3 linked regions of the Saccharomyces cerevisiae S288C genome follow. Changing the gene in region 3 together with the main gene of any one other region gives a genetic interaction. Each region holds a gene or a part of one and is shown on either strand. Other genes may lie near its edges.

The links.
Region 1: mutations in YEH2 (region 3) and ERG2 together harm fitness more than expected from each alone (negative genetic interaction), as found in Saccharomyces cerevisiae (2 studies listed by BioGRID).
Region 2: of YEH2 (region 3) and TGL1, changing one enhances a phenotype caused by changing the other (phenotypic enhancement), as found in Saccharomyces cerevisiae (3 studies listed by BioGRID).

Annotation. Positions count from the first base shown.
Region 1 is NC_001145.3:665,837-668,705, forward strand, and holds ERG2 (C-8 sterol isomerase ERG2), read left to right. Parts: upstream 1-1,700; coding exon 1,701-2,369; downstream 2,370-2,869. Other genes in the region: DNA repair protein RAD14, read right to left, coding at 9-1,097, 1,182-1,208; TOM complex pore protein TOM40, read left to right, coding at 2,656-2,869. UniProt on the Saccharomyces cerevisiae protein: C-8 sterol isomerase; part of the third module of ergosterol biosynthesis pathway that includes the late steps of the pathway. ERG2 catalyzes the reaction which results in unsaturation at C-7 in the B ring of sterols and thus converts fecosterol to episterol.
Region 2 is NC_001143.9:178,792-182,925, forward strand, and holds TGL1 (sterol esterase), read left to right. Parts: upstream 1-1,987; coding exon 1,988-3,634; downstream 3,635-4,134. Other genes in the region: MRP8 (Mrp8p), read left to right, coding at 1-383; succinate dehydrogenase cytochrome b subunit SDH3, read left to right, coding at 876-1,472. UniProt on the Saccharomyces cerevisiae protein: Mediates the hydrolysis of steryl esters (SE). Preferentially hydrolyzes ergosteryl and zymosteryl esters. Required for mobilization of SEs from lipid particles/droplets, thereby playing a central role in lipid metabolism and sterol homeostasis.
Region 3 is NC_001144.5:178,669-187,020, forward strand, and holds YEH2 (sterol esterase), read right to left. Parts: upstream 4,738-8,352; coding exon 3,121-4,737; downstream 1-3,120. Other genes in the region: POM34 (Pom34p), read right to left, coding at 39-938; PSR2 (putative phosphatase), read left to right, coding at 1,620-2,813; IRC25 (Irc25p), read left to right, coding at 4,955-5,494; guanine nucleotide exchange factor SDO1, read right to left, coding at 5,506-6,258; IZH3 (Izh3p), read right to left, coding at 6,830-8,352. UniProt on the Saccharomyces cerevisiae protein: Mediates the hydrolysis of steryl esters. Required for mobilization of steryl ester, thereby playing a central role in lipid metabolism.

The DNA.
Region 1 (2,869 bases), on a different chromosome or scaffold from region 3:
ACCAACATTTAAATGTCAATTTCTTCAGTTTCTAGCCCGCAGTCTGTACATCTTCTTCTTTGAATTTGATAACCGTCTTCATCAATACCTCCATCAACTGGATCACTAAAATGATGAATATGGGCTTTCCCATGCTTCTTTTCTCTTAATCTATTAGTATATTCTTGAGCTCTTGTTTTCAGTCGCATTTCCTTGATTTTCTTTTCGTATTTTTTCTCCCTTCTGTGAGCCTTTCCTTCTTCACGACGTTGCCATTCCTCATCTAAACCTTCTTCTCCACCCCATTTCTTGAACGCAAAGGCTTCCACTTCACATCTAACAAATAGTTGCATTCTTGCAAATGTCCCCGAATGAGGGTTCGGCTTTTCTAGTCTATGAAAGAGATCCTCATCATTCAATTCGGGGTCTGTTAAAAAGTAATCTTCCTTACATTCTGTTTTCGTCAGTAGTGCATACTTTTCTGGATGCTCCTTAGAACACTGTTTACAAACTTGTAACTTGAACACATCATGTAGCACAGGATCCATCTCAATATTAATATGACATTCAATACATTTCGGCGCCTTTGAAATATGCTCTGGAGGAGGTGCATTTTCGTACAGCATTTTCCGTTCAAGTTGTTCCTTTTTCCAGTCCTGTAGTGTCTTCTGCTTTTTAGATCCAAACTCAGATTCAAATTCTTGGTCATCGGTAAAGTCAGAATTTGGAAGCTTGTCCTTAGGGTTGATATAACCACCATTCAAGTTCTGCATGGTGGCAAAATCGTACTCAATGTAATCTTGTTTCCTTATGCTAGGTCTGATTCTATCCGTTGGCCTTTTGTCGAGTACCGACGCATCCCTTTTACTTCCATCAACTACTCCGCTACCATAAAGTGAAGTAGTGTTAGTGTTAGTGTTAGCAAGCGCAGACGGTTGTCCATTATGATTTGGCACATGTACTGCGGCTGCTGCATTATCATCCCGATTGCTGCCACTAGTAACTGCGAGAGGCCGGGTTTTTAAAGGTTCATTCCTACTTTCTATTCGATTCAATTGGTCGCTACTCAGTATTCCCCTTTTTCTTAACCGTTCTATTGCTAATTTCCTGTTAGCCTCCTGCACAGCTCATCTCATCGTTAAATTGTTAGTAAAAAGAAACCCACGGTTAAAATACAAACACAGAATCATTTTCACACATACTAGTTTGGCCTTTTGTTCGGGAGTCATAGCGTTACGTTCGATACCTTCACTACGAAGATCCAAACTCTTTTTCTAGTTCCGATAAATTCCTTACCTTCTTTTCACTTTCCTCTTTTCTCCCTACAACTTAGCAAACGTCAAACATGCTGTAGATAGAGCTTCTATAGAAGTACAGTTATTCAAACAAAAAAAAAAAAAAAAACAAGGGTTGTGGAGTATGCCACTAGCAGTCTGCTATGTTGATTCTGCTTATTATCAACGAAGTATCCCATTATGATCTTATGCAATGCACATTCCTGCCCTTACGCTCCAGGGCAGAATCGAACCACGGCCCTCGTATAAGCCGCAAGGAAAACTACCGGTGCTATCGTTCTCGTTTGGATGATTTTCAGTATGGAAGAATTTGGATAGATCTGCAGCGCCATGGTATATAAGAGAAAGAAGCGGTAACGTTTGACACTGGGTTCAGATCTCTCTTGTCGCTCAATCAAACTAAGACTAGCCCAGACCATTATAGCCATGAAGTTTTTCCCACTCCTTTTGTTGATTGGTGTTGTAGGCTACATTATGAACGTATTGTTCACTACCTGGTTGCCAACCAATTACATGTTCGATCCAAAAACTTTGAACGAAATATGTAACTCGGTGATTAGCAAACACAACGCAGCAGAAGGTTTATCCACTGAAGACCTGTTACAGGATGTCAGAGACGCACTTGCCTCTCATTACGGGGACGAATACATCAACAGGTACGTCAAAGAAGAATGGGTCTTCAACAATGCTGGTGGTGCGATGGGCCAAATGATCATCCTACACGCTTCCGTATCCGAGTACTTAATTCTATTCGGAACCGCTGTTGGTACTGAAGGGCACACAGGTGTTCACTTTGCTGACGACTATTTTACCATCTTACATGGTACGCAAATCGCAGCATTGCCATATGCCACTGAAGCCGAAGTTTACACTCCTGGTATGACTCATCACTTGAAGAAGGGATACGCCAAGCAATACAGCATGCCAGGTGGTTCCTTTGCCCTTGAATTGGCTCAAGGCTGGATTCCATGTATGTTGCCATTCGGGTTTTTGGACACTTTCTCCAGTACTCTTGATTTATACACTCTATATAGAACTGTCTACCTGACTGCCAGGGACATGGGTAAGAACTTGTTGCAAAACAAAAAGTTCTAAGCTGCCCGACCTCACGAAATCAGTCATGCGGTAGTCCATTATAATATAACTATTATTATTATTACTATTACTATTATTATTATTATTATTATTATCTATTGTTTATATTCTCTTTAGCTTTTTATCACCTACGACGACGGATATATTCGGCGTTTGCAAAAAGTGAAAAAGGCGTCTTTTGGTGGACATGAACTCAATCTTCAATTCTTTGAAAGCGGTGTATGCGTATAAGGCCTTTTAACCATCGTGCAAAACAATAAAAGACTACCAATAACCGACGTGAATCATGTCTGCACCAACTCCATTAGCAGAGGCCTCTCAAATTCCCACTATCCCGGCCCTTTCTCCTTTGACTGCGAAGCAATCCAAGGGGAATTTCTTCTCCTCAAACCCAATATCTAGCTTTGTTGTGGATACGTACAAACAATTGCATTCTCACAGACAATCTTTGGAGCTGGTCAATCCCGGTACCGTGGAAAACCTGAATAAGGAAGTCTCCC
Region 2 (4,134 bases), on a different chromosome or scaffold from region 3:
AAAGGTCTATCAGAAGACTTGTTAACTCTTTGAAAAAAGATGATGATGACGTTATAGCGCCACTGCCTAATGCAGATGGTGATATTCCTGCTATTTCAGACGGAGTGTTCCCTAAGTCGTTGAAAGAATTTAAAGACATCCCAGACTTAAAACTGGTAAGACTTGCTAAATTCTACGAAAGATTGCCACCAACTCTAAAGGAACAAGAAGATTTTGAAAACTTCCTGGAAGGTAAGGTGGAAGCCTTTCACATTAATGAGACCACTGATGAAGAGATTTCTAAGGAGTTGGAAAAGTTCTCCAAAGATGAGCTAGATGATGCATTTAATGATGTTGCCCGCTATCTAGGTCTCTCCCTTAGAAGAGGAACCGAAATATGGTAAACAGAAAATGAAAAAAAATGAAAAATCAATGAATAAGAGGGCTTGAGTTCCAGGTTCTAGAAATTTCCCTCACTTATATATATATATATATCTATATACATATAGTTTTGAGTATATCATAACAGGATTCTCTTTCAATGAAACCTATGTTTTCCGCGGCATTGCAGTTAAAGGATGTTCTAGTGGTGAAAAAGAGAAGAAAAGAATTCAAAGTTTTCCTCCCATAAGTATACCTATACTTTTTATCTGTGATTGAAAGCTGTATACCAACAGCCTTCTATATATTACCTTGTATACCATTCAGTAGTCTTAAGCATCATCTAACTTTTGACCAGGTCCATTCTGATTGGCTGCGGTAGCCCGCTCCGTTTTCCGCTCTAAGCGTTTGGTACTTGTATAAATGTGCACTGGCATTATGATATCGAGATCCCCGCATAGAAATCTCAGGACCAACCAAAAATTGCCAATCACAAGCTCTAAGAATAATAAACGATGTCTGCAATGATGGTCAAGTTAGGACTGAATAAGTCGGCTCTATTACTGAAACCCTCCGCCTTTTCAAGAGCAGCTGCCTTGAGCTCCTCGAGGAGGCTGCTTTTTAATACAGCTAGAACAAACTTCCTTTCTACCTCACCATTGAAGAATGTGGCCAGTGAAATGAACACCAAAGCGGCAATTGCTGAAGAACAAATATTAAACAAGCAAAGAGCAAAGAGACCTATTTCTCCACATCTGACCATTTACCAGCCACAATTAACTTGGTACCTGTCTTCTCTTCACCGTATTTCGTTGGTGCTTATGGGACTAGGTTTCTACTTGTTTACTATACTCTTCGGAGTCTCTGGTTTATTAGGTCTTGGATTGACTACCGAAAAGGTTTCTAATTGGTACCATCAGAAGTTTTCCAAGATTACCGAATGGTCCATCAAGGGTTCCTTTGCTTACTTATTTGCAATTCACTATGGTGGCGCCATTAGACACTTGATCTGGGATACCGCTAAGGAATTGACATTGAAAGGCGTTTACAGAACTGGTTACGCTCTCATTGGTTTCACCGCCGTTCTCGGTACTTATTTATTAACTTTATGATTCTTTAAGGCGACGCACCTGTTTCTACACACAAATATATATATAGCCAATTTTATATATACGTTCCTATATATGACCCAATACCGCACTTATTTATTCTTTAAGATCTTTATAACCCAAAATGCCGATTAACACAAACCTATATTTACTAGGGGCACATTTTTTATTTTTTTGCCTTTCTGTAAAATACAATAGAGAAAATAAAGGAACAAACAAGAGGAAAAACAGGAAAAGATAGCGCAAGAGTAATCATATTCAACAAAATATCAGTGATTTTTTACAGATATCAAGATAATTTCTTTCCGGATACTTATTGAAGCTATTATTTGTTACTGGCAAGAAAAAGCAAACATAGGCGGTCATTTTTCTTTTGTATAAAGTAAATACAAGAAGAATTATTTTCGAGGAATAACTAGGTGTGCAGAGATATTAAGGAACAAGGAAAGAAGAAAGAAAACAATTCGAACAAAACTTTATTATTCTAGCACTATTTTAAAAAACTGTCTTTTGGCAAAATGTACTTCCCCTTTTTAGGCAGATTATCGATAACAGATTACATTATAGTCGTCTTGGTATACATAGAAAGCATTATTTCATCAGTCCTTAAACTTATACCACAACCAATGATTAACCTTTTCGAATGGCTAATAAATTTCTCAACGTCCTCCGATGACAATACCATCGAAGAAAAGTTAAGGTCAGCTCCAACTATCCATGAAATGTGTGCAATTTTTGATATATCTGTCGAGGATCATTTGGTAAGAACTGAAGACAATTATATCTTGACACTGCATAGAATCCCACCGATTTCTAAAAACAGATTTAACAATAAAGTGGTATACTTACATCACGGTCTTTTGATGTGTTCTGATGTTTGGTGTTGCAATATTGAAAGACATAAAAACTTACCGTTTGTATTGCATGATTTAGGTTACGACGTCTGGATGGGAAATAATAGAGGTAATAAATATTCAACTGCCCACTTGAACAAACCACCAAAATCGAACAAGTTTTGGGATTTTTCTATCGACGAATTTGCGTTCTTTGACATTCCAAACTCAATTGAATTCATCTTAGATATAACAAAAGTGGACAAGGTCATCTGCATCGGATTCTCTCAAGGCTCTGCTCAAATGTTTGCTGCATTTTCGTTGAGTGAAAAATTGAATCGAAAAGTCTCCCATTTTATAGCCATAGCACCCGCTATGACTCCAAAGGGGTTGCACAACAGAATTGTCGATACCTTGGCCAAATCATCGCCCGGCTTTATGTATCTTTTCTTTGGTAGGAAAATTGTGTTACCTTCAGCTGTCATTTGGCAAAGAACTTTACATCCAACACTTTTCAATTTGTGTATCGATATCGCAAACAAGATACTGTTCAATTGGAAGTCGTTTAACATTCTACCGAGACAAAAGATTGCTTCTTACGCAAAACTTTATTCAACGACCAGTGTAAAATCCATTGTTCACTGGTTCCAAATATTAAGATCTCAGAAATTTCAAATGTTTGAAGAGTCTGATAACATGCTAAATTCCTTAACTAGGCCTTACCAAATTGCTAATTTTCCTACTAGAACAAATATCAAGATTCCCATTCTTTTAATTTATGGTGGCATAGATTCTTTAGTTGATATTGATGTGATGAAAAAAAATCTACCCTTCAACTCCGTCTTTGATGTTAAAGTTGACAATTATGAACACCTGGATTTGATTTGGGGCAAAGATGCCGATACCTTGGTCATTGCTAAAGTCTTGAGGTTTATTGAATTTTTTAACCCTGGTAATGTTTCAGTGAAGACTAACCAGTTACTACCATCAGCAAGTCTGGTTGAGGAATTACCAAGCACGACATGGAAGACAACTCATCCAACGCATGGTCTCAGTTATAGAACTCACTCGGCAGACCGTTCTCCGTTGTCTGTACAAGCTGATGAAGCGGATGAGGTCCACAATGCTGACAATTCAAGGTTCTTAAGACGAGTGTTTTCTACTAGTGCCATAGACGAGGACAACGAAAATGAGCACCAGGATGATACAGAAGATCAAATCCATAAGGAGCAGCAAAGACGGTTAAGTGCCTATCTGGAATCATCCAAAGATTTACGACAACTAGATGCCAACTCTTCGACAACTGCGCTGGATGCTCTAAATAAAGAATGAAAAGAATGCGAGAGAAACCCTATTAAACTATTTTTTGTCTAGGATAATAATATTAGCGCTAATCTAAAAATCGATGAACTAAAGAAAGAATATACGTACGTTTTATACACAATAAATGGATTTCATAAGAAGTCCTTAATATCCTCATGCTTGTGGATACTGGAAATTAGTAAAGTAATTAACTTCCTTTTAGCATTATTCTTATTTGGCTTAAAAAGGTCACGTGAAGCTCTATTTTTTTCGTTTTTTTTTTTCACTGATGGAAGAGAAAAACCTCTACATAATAAGGTAACTTTACATATTGATTGCCAATGAGATGTTAAAAAATGGACGGTTCAGACAGTAAAATACATTTAGAAAAAAAGAGAAGGTCTTATCAGTGTATTTATTCACTGTGCATATTAGCTTTTTTTGGACTTTTTTTGTTCCATTAGTACTTTTAAAAAACCTATTTGTAAATAAAACTAATTCTAGCACTATTCTTTGCACTAGAATAACAC
Region 3 (8,352 bases):
TATAGCTATGGAAAGTATTAAATGTTTTTTTGCTGTTTTTATATTTTCCCCCTTGGGGACTGTGAGTTCATCATATATGCATATTTGCTACTTGGAATGTAGCCCTTCCTAGTTACAGGGGTATGCGGCGAGTTATTGTCATTGTTAGCGCTCACTAATGTGCTACTGATACCGCTATGCCTCTGCAGTGTGCCAAATACATTCTTTGTGTGTAAGGATTGAGATTGTAGTTTCGTCTGTTCCTCCGCCATTTCCCTTTGTCTTGCTTTCAAAGGCGTCTCTAAGCCTTTGAAGAGATATGCTGGATGATTTTTGAGATTTGTTTGAGGAATATGTGTTTTGTTCTGTGCCATTTGGCTGATCTTAGAAGTGGATACGTAGTGGGGGTGTTGTGGCTGCAACCCAGTATCGACAGATGATTGCATGTCTACCCCCAGGAGCTTCTTTTGCCTGTCAGTGAGATTCAAATCACTTACTTTGACGGTGGATAAGAGCTTCCAAAGAGAAAACAGTATATTGAGCGAGATTAATAGGTGGAACAAGTAGTCAAGAAGTTCTGCATTCAACCAACTGAACGTGGTGTGATATATGATGTTAGCCTTCTTTAACGTGTGAAATGTCAACATGTACAGATGGATTCTGGATAGCCGGTTGCAAAACTGTCTCCCAACATGAGTGTTGTTCCAAAAGAACTTGATGAACTTCACCAGCAGGTTCCAGAACGCAAACGCAATTACGTTTGTCATAATTCTCTGCGTCTCCATTTCCTTGTTTACCGTTCGCCGTGATAGCTCCTTGAGCACAGGACTTTCAAAGTTGCCCAATTTAAACATTGGTGTGTCATTTTGTGATTGTGATGAGGGTTTGCTGTCTGTGTCCGGCAATGGTCCCGGCACGTCATTATCGTCCAGGCCCAATTGGCCCGCCTGAATCTTCATAGTTCCCTCTATTATTTTTTTGCCTCTGCGGATATATTAAAAGTCTGTATATTGTCAAGTTCTTATAATATAAATCTTTTTGTTCATCATAACCATCTTATTAATTGTTATTATTTCTATCATTATTACTATTAGCACAAATTTCATTTTTTTTTTTTTTCATTTTTCTTTAGACTTTAGCCCTAATTAGACCTGAGAAATATTATTATAACCTGAGAAAGGTTTATAAAAAGAACATTATAACCTACAAAAAAGATACTTAAACCCTGAAGTTAATAGGTTTGGACCCTCTTTTTTTTTTTTTGCTTTTTTTTAGAAAACCTCAGTATTCACAGTCTAAGGAACAGATAAAGAGAAGCTTTATGAAAGCAGTCCACAGTGCCACGAACTTTGACATATATAATTGACTTGTGGGGGCTACCGACTGGCTTATATTTCTAAAATTTAGAGATTTGATTATCTTTTTCGCAGCGCGTAAAAGAAACCCACGAAGCATCGCTTAATTTACACATATTCTTCGTTCTCCCCTTTTGGAGAGGATTTAAGCTAAGATATATCTTTCTTCGAGCGCAGTGCTGCTTTTGAGTTCTTTCGTTTTAATTTTCCACTTATTTGGCAATAAAAACTGAGTGAAGAGTGCTTCTCTGTCTGTTTTAGGGAGCTTTTTCAGATCATCATCAGATGGGATTTATAGCAAATATACTGTGCTGTTCTTCAGATACTTCCAAAACACATCGTCAACGCCAACCACCAGAAACTAATCACAACCGCAACCGCAACCGTAAGCACAGTTCAAACAAAGCTCAAACTCAGGGTCGTAAGCAGAAGGCTACTCCAAACGGCGACAAGATGCAATATTCCACACCGGAGATCCTTTTGTCTAGTTCCGATTCAGGCAGCAATGCGGGTTCCAAGACAATGCAGGAGAATGGGAATAGCGGCAATGGAAAACTAGCACCTTTATCAAGAGATCACTCCAACAACTCGTACGATGAGGAGAAAGAATATGAAGATTATAATGAAGGAGACGTAGAAATGACGGAGGTTAACAATGCCGGAGAAGAAGAAGAAGAAGATGACGAAGCAAAAGAAAAGCAAGACCATGTCGTTCATGAATATAACGTTGACGCAGATAGAAATTCCAGTATTAATGACGAGGCGCCACCACAACAGGGTCTGTATCAGGTGGGTCAAGAAGATATGAATCCACAATATGTCGCCAGCAGTCCTGATAATGATTTAAACTTGATACCTACAACGGAGGAGGACTTCTCTGACCTGACGCATTTGCAACCAGACCAGTACCATGCCCCCGGATACGACACTCTGCTACCACCCAAGTTGCAAGAATTTCAACAGAAAAAATGTCTGATATTGGATCTAGACGAAACTTTGGTACATTCTTCCTTTAAATATATGCATTCAGCTGATTTCGTTTTGCCCGTCGAAATCGATGATCAAGTTCACAATGTCTATGTTATTAAGAGGCCAGGCGTCGATGAGTTCTTGAACAGGGTGAGTCAACTATACGAAGTTGTTGTGTTCACGGCAAGTGTTTCGAGGTATGCAAACCCCCTTTTAGATACGTTGGACCCTAATGGAACCATCCATCATCGATTATTCAGAGAAGCTTGTTATAACTACGAAGGTAACTACATCAAGAACTTATCGCAGATCGGAAGACCATTGTCCGAAACAATCATCTTAGATAATTCGCCGGCCTCTTACATCTTTCATCCGCAACATGCTGTTCCGATATCTTCTTGGTTCTCTGATACTCATGATAATGAGTTACTAGATATTATCCCACTTTTGGAGGACCTTTCATCAGGAAACGTGTTGGATGTGGGGAGCGTGTTGGATGTGACGATATAGATTTCTCAGTAACATAAAAAGCAGGCTCTTTTTATTACCCCCCCCTTCGGTTATATGTTTGGACGAACTCATGTTTCTCTTTTTATACAGAAGACTTCACCGGATATTTATAAACTTAATGAATTAATTTGCTTATTACATGTATCAATTGTACTTTACGTGTAACATCTACAGATACATATATCCGTATATACTAGCATATATATAAATATATACTCTATACATATATCTATTTATTATGCTTTTCTTTCCTCTTTTTATGGCATATTATATTTTACAAAGAAACCACAAAGAAAAAACTTTTACCTCACCTTGCATTAGGAAACCTCAAATTTTCTATCATTGGCTTACCAATTCTATCTATAACATCATGCGCCCATAAAACGTCCAGATGGGAATACTCATCAATATACCAGATTTTGTACACTGCATTTGCTTCATGATTAATGAAGTGATTAATTAATCGTTCACCATCTACTAATCTATCTTGCTTTGGAATAAACATTATAATGTGTGGAAATTCTTCACTATTTTGTCTTTTCGGATTTAAGTGTAGTTTGTTGTTATCCAAATTATTGCCACTGTCATCATCATTCTTGGCAATAGGAAACCATGTCTTTTTATCTGGAAAAATTTTCTCTGCACCCTTCTTAAAACTTAGCTTATTAGGAAGAGGTGACAACCACCATTGCATTAGTTTGACGGAAATATGGACTGGTGAAAATAAGAAATTTCGGTCCCTTAAAACTCTATCCCATAAGACATCGTTCCAATCAAATAGGTAGTTAAACATGATGTATGAGAGGAACGAAAAAATCTTGGTCCCAACCATTAGTTTTCTCATTGTCATCATAAGAGGTATAAACGATCTTCTACCAAAGTACCACGGAGAATCAATACCTTTTGCCATTAGCCTCACAAATGCTTTTTCATCCAATAAAGGTCCAGGGTACACTGCAGGTGCCAAAGCAACAAAGTTTTCCAGCTTATCGACTAATTTAAAATCACTTGCGTATAGTTTCTCACCGTTGACAAGCCCCATAAACCCTTGTGTTGTACCTTGTGAATGCGCCACGAGCGATAGTTTAGCATATCCGGTACTATCAAGTACATAATTTATAAGTGCTTTTAAATCGTATTGAACCATCTGGTGCATATCCCAATCCCATTTTTTGGAATGATCATTACCTAATTTTTTCATGTTCCACTTGGCATTTAAGCCACATCTGTTATTCCCCAACCAAACATCAAATCCAGATTCATAAAGGAAGTATGCCAGAGATTTTCTACCTGAAGATGCGAAGGCCCCGCAACTTTGCAAAAGACCGTGTAATAGCAAAATGGGTTCACGTTTCACTTCCTCTACGCCATCGTTTAACCTGGACTTGAAGTGCCACAAATCAATGATAAAACCGTCGTCTGTCTCCACCTCAAATTCTTCAATATCAATACCATACTCTTTATAATAGTACTTTAAGTCAGGTACCAGCTTGGTATCCTCCGCAAGCGCAATGTTTTGGAAGGGATTCTCTGCAGCATATGGGGCTTGGTTCACATTCGTTTCCATTTTAATATTAGCATTTCCATCACCGTTCTCTGATAAAGAGGCATTACTAGTCATGGACAGCTTGCTAGTCACAGTACGGTCATATTCAATATTATTTTCCTGATCCCGCTGTAAATCTAAGGGCGTTGTGGAAGATATTGACAAAGGTCTAGAGTGACGTGCTGGTCGTTTCTTCTTCTTGTCATTTGGCTGGATCTTGGTTCTCGAACTTCTTGTATCTCTTGGATCATTTTTATGTTGGAAATGAACTGTCACGTAATTCTTCCATAGTGACAAAATGAATAACCCCGTCATAAACGAAGTGAGAATTATTGCGCTCACCAACCGCTGAACCTCATCAACCACCTTATTTACCATGCTTATCGTAAAGGTGCCACGGGGATCCCAATGATAGTTGAGTATTTCCCAACAATTTTAATTATACCTTTGATGAGAAACATTTGCGTACTATTTGTGTGAAAAAAAATGAAGAACTTAATGCGCGAATTATTGGGATAACAACGCCAATGGTGAATCAAAATATTAACAATGACAAAAAGAATGGGCTATTTTTGTACAAAATACTGTTGCAAATATGATATCATATGAATTCCAAACTCATCTACCGAAAGGAAAAGATAGCTCATTGAACGCTTCATCCGAAAACAAAGAATTGTATGTACAAGCCACGCACTTTAATAACACAATTCTATTGCAAATCAGACTAAATGGGGAAATGGATTCCACCTATGAGGTATCTTCAAAAGGACTAAACCCAATTCTCGATATCAACGTACCACTGGCAGGAAACCTAGGAAACACGGGTGGCGATTATGACGATGAGGAAGAAGAATTTGTAAGAGACCATTTATCTGATTATCAAGTGGTTACCAAGTTGGGAGATAGTGCCGATCCTAAAGTACCCGTGGTATGCGTACAGATTGCCGAACTATATAGGAGAGTTATTCTACCAGAAGTGAGCGGTACGATGGCCCAAGACAACATGCAATTCAGCTTGCTGATATCCATGAGCAGTAAGATATGGAGAGCAACGAAGGAACAAAGCGCTGACGATAATGATTTTGGCAAATTAGTTTTTGTGTTAAAGTGTATCAAAGATATGTATGCAAAGTGATTCTATATAAATTAGTTATGCGTTGTATTATCTATGACTGCCATATCCAAGACTTGCACAGTTCCCTTTTTATCACATAGGGTCATCAAATCTCTATAATTGACAGGATCGATAAGACCTGTACATGTCCAAGGATCCAATTCCGGCTTCGTTGACTCTCCAGGCGATGAAGCTATCAATTTACTAATCTTCTCAATAAGTTCGGGTTGTCTAGATGGCTCACTTATGGCCACTTTGACTTTCATCTTCGCCCTTACTATTGGAATAATTTGCTTAGAAACCAATAATTTGATAGCCTCTAAAGCTTGCAATTTGGCAGGTTTGTTAATAACAGGGCTGAACTTCAGTTCCTGTAAAGCTTTGTGGATCATTGTGGGCGGATATCTTTTCTTTGACACAGGATTTATACATTTAGCGCTAACTATTGTAAGCATTTCGTTATTAACTTTATTAAGCATTAATTGTCTTTCTTTTTCCGATAATTGAATCTCTCCCTTATGCATGATCTCCTCGATGACATCATCAACATTTGTAGTCCCGAAACACTTTTGTAGATCTTCCTTATTAGCAACCAAGCCTTTCGAAACATTCATGAAAACTTGATGTATCTGCAGCACTTCATCCAGATCTTTTTCAATTCCTTTTCGATAGTCTTGGACCTTATTTTGGTAGCACGCGACTTCAAATCTCTTGCGAGCCTTTTTTAATCTCACTAATGAAACATTAGTTAACTTAATCTGTCCCGACGGTTGATTGATAGGCATTGCGTGTTTTACCTTTTCTTTCTCAGAACTATTTTAGTAAAAATTTTAAAAACTTTTACTACTGCATGAAATCACTTAAGTTCGGCCTAGAAAAATTTTTTCATGAACATTATTATATATACAAGGCACTGAGCAGAACAATACACGCTAAGTTTTGTTCTTTCATGAGGTCATAATAAGTTAAATAACAGTCAATACATAAATGCAAAACTAAAAGTACACAGTTTTATTATTTTCTTTTCGTCGTAATGTAGTTTTTATAATCAGTCAACTTTTTTTTTGCTTTTAGATTTCGTTTGTTCCTTTTGTCTTTGGATCCAAAGTTTCTTGAAAATGTAGCCAAAACAATGCCAGCAGGAATATCGAAAAAGATGGGTATAATATAAGTAAAAAAAAAATTTTAACAATGAAATAATACAGGAGAATTCGTGGTTTACAATTTCTGGTTTTTTTCGAAATTGCTATGTGGCTTCTCCAACAATGTAATTGTAGGCTTTTCTTTCTTTTAAGTCCGTTTATCGTATACAGAAAAAGTGCAGGATGTTGTAAGTAAAGGTAGTCAGTCATACCATCATGACAAAATCCACCTCTTGGCAAACATATCTAAAATAGCTCTATAATGGCCGATGACACCCAACACTACGAAGAAATGCCAAAAAGTGTGCGAACAACCAAAATAGTCAACCCACCATAGAGATTTAAATGATTTGGCATGAGACGGACAGGAACTGCATTTGGAATGGGCTGTTGGCACCTCTCTAAAATGAATTTCCCTTTGCTTTGTGATGATTTCTAAATCAGTAGATAATTCGTAGTTTGTTGGAATGGTCTTATCAACCTGAACGTCAGATCTGAACCGTTCAGGAATGAACGAACCGTAAAATACCACACCAACCAAATACCAAACAACAGATTTGTATGTGACGGGGCTAAATAGCGTTGCAGCATAATGAAGATCAGTCAAAAATATCAAATGTAAAAACGACAATACACCCATAGTAGCCAGCAAAATGAAGAATCTAATTCTTAATGGCCTTGCTTCAGGTCTATCAAAGCGAGGCGACCAATTCATAAACACACCAAATACACCCAGCGCCAGAGAAATACTCATGTAAGTGTACATCGCCCAGTAACATGAATACATGGTAACAAACTCCGTTGTCAATATCGAAGCTGTAATTAAGATCGTAATACCGCTATAGTCGACACACGCAAATTTAGAACGTAGCTTCAAGAAGGACGTTCCGTTGAAAGTATGCCAAAACACGGAGCTTAGCATACATTTCAACGCAGCTGCCAAAAACATGAAAACAATCCATCTAGCCTGTGGTGGAACCTGGGAATTCCGCCAAACTTCAGACTGAGGGAAATCGTAAATTGCCAAGTAGATTATATAAATGGCTCCTAACAAATGAGACCAAATATTTGAAGTTTCATTATGCCAGCCGTACCAGTTAAAGATAGACAACAAAGATTTGGAATGGGTATTGTAAAACCTATAGCCATGGATTATGTATCTGTTTTCCCTCCATGGGAATGGCAACTGATAATAATGTAAATGTTGAGTTTCACCTAGACTATACGCTTTGCCATGGTTGTATGAGTTTATAAAAGACTTGATATCGGTAGTAGGATTCAAAGGTTCTTCAATGAGGATTTCCGTCTTTACCATGGATTTTCTCATTGGACCGCAATAGTCTTTCACGCTGGAAATATAATTGTTTTCCTCTTTGATTTTTGTATCATTGAGACGACTTGTTGGGGAACGTAACGAGGACTTCGCTTGAGAACATACAGTTGAAGATGAAGACACCAGTGAAGTGGATGTAGAAGCATTGTTAAGCTTGAAAGTAGCGACTGAATTCACCAAAGTGGCTGCATCTGAATCTCCCAGTGAAAACTGAGATTCTGTATTCAGAGACTTGCCACTGTTTCTTTTGTACACAGAACTTGTTACTTCCTTTTCTTTTGTTGGACGAATTATCTCCAAATCATCATACCGCCCACTTTCAGAGTGTTTAACACTTTCATCAATAGTTGAAAATGGATGAGGAACGAATTTTGAGTAGTTGTAATTATAGATGGATTTACCGG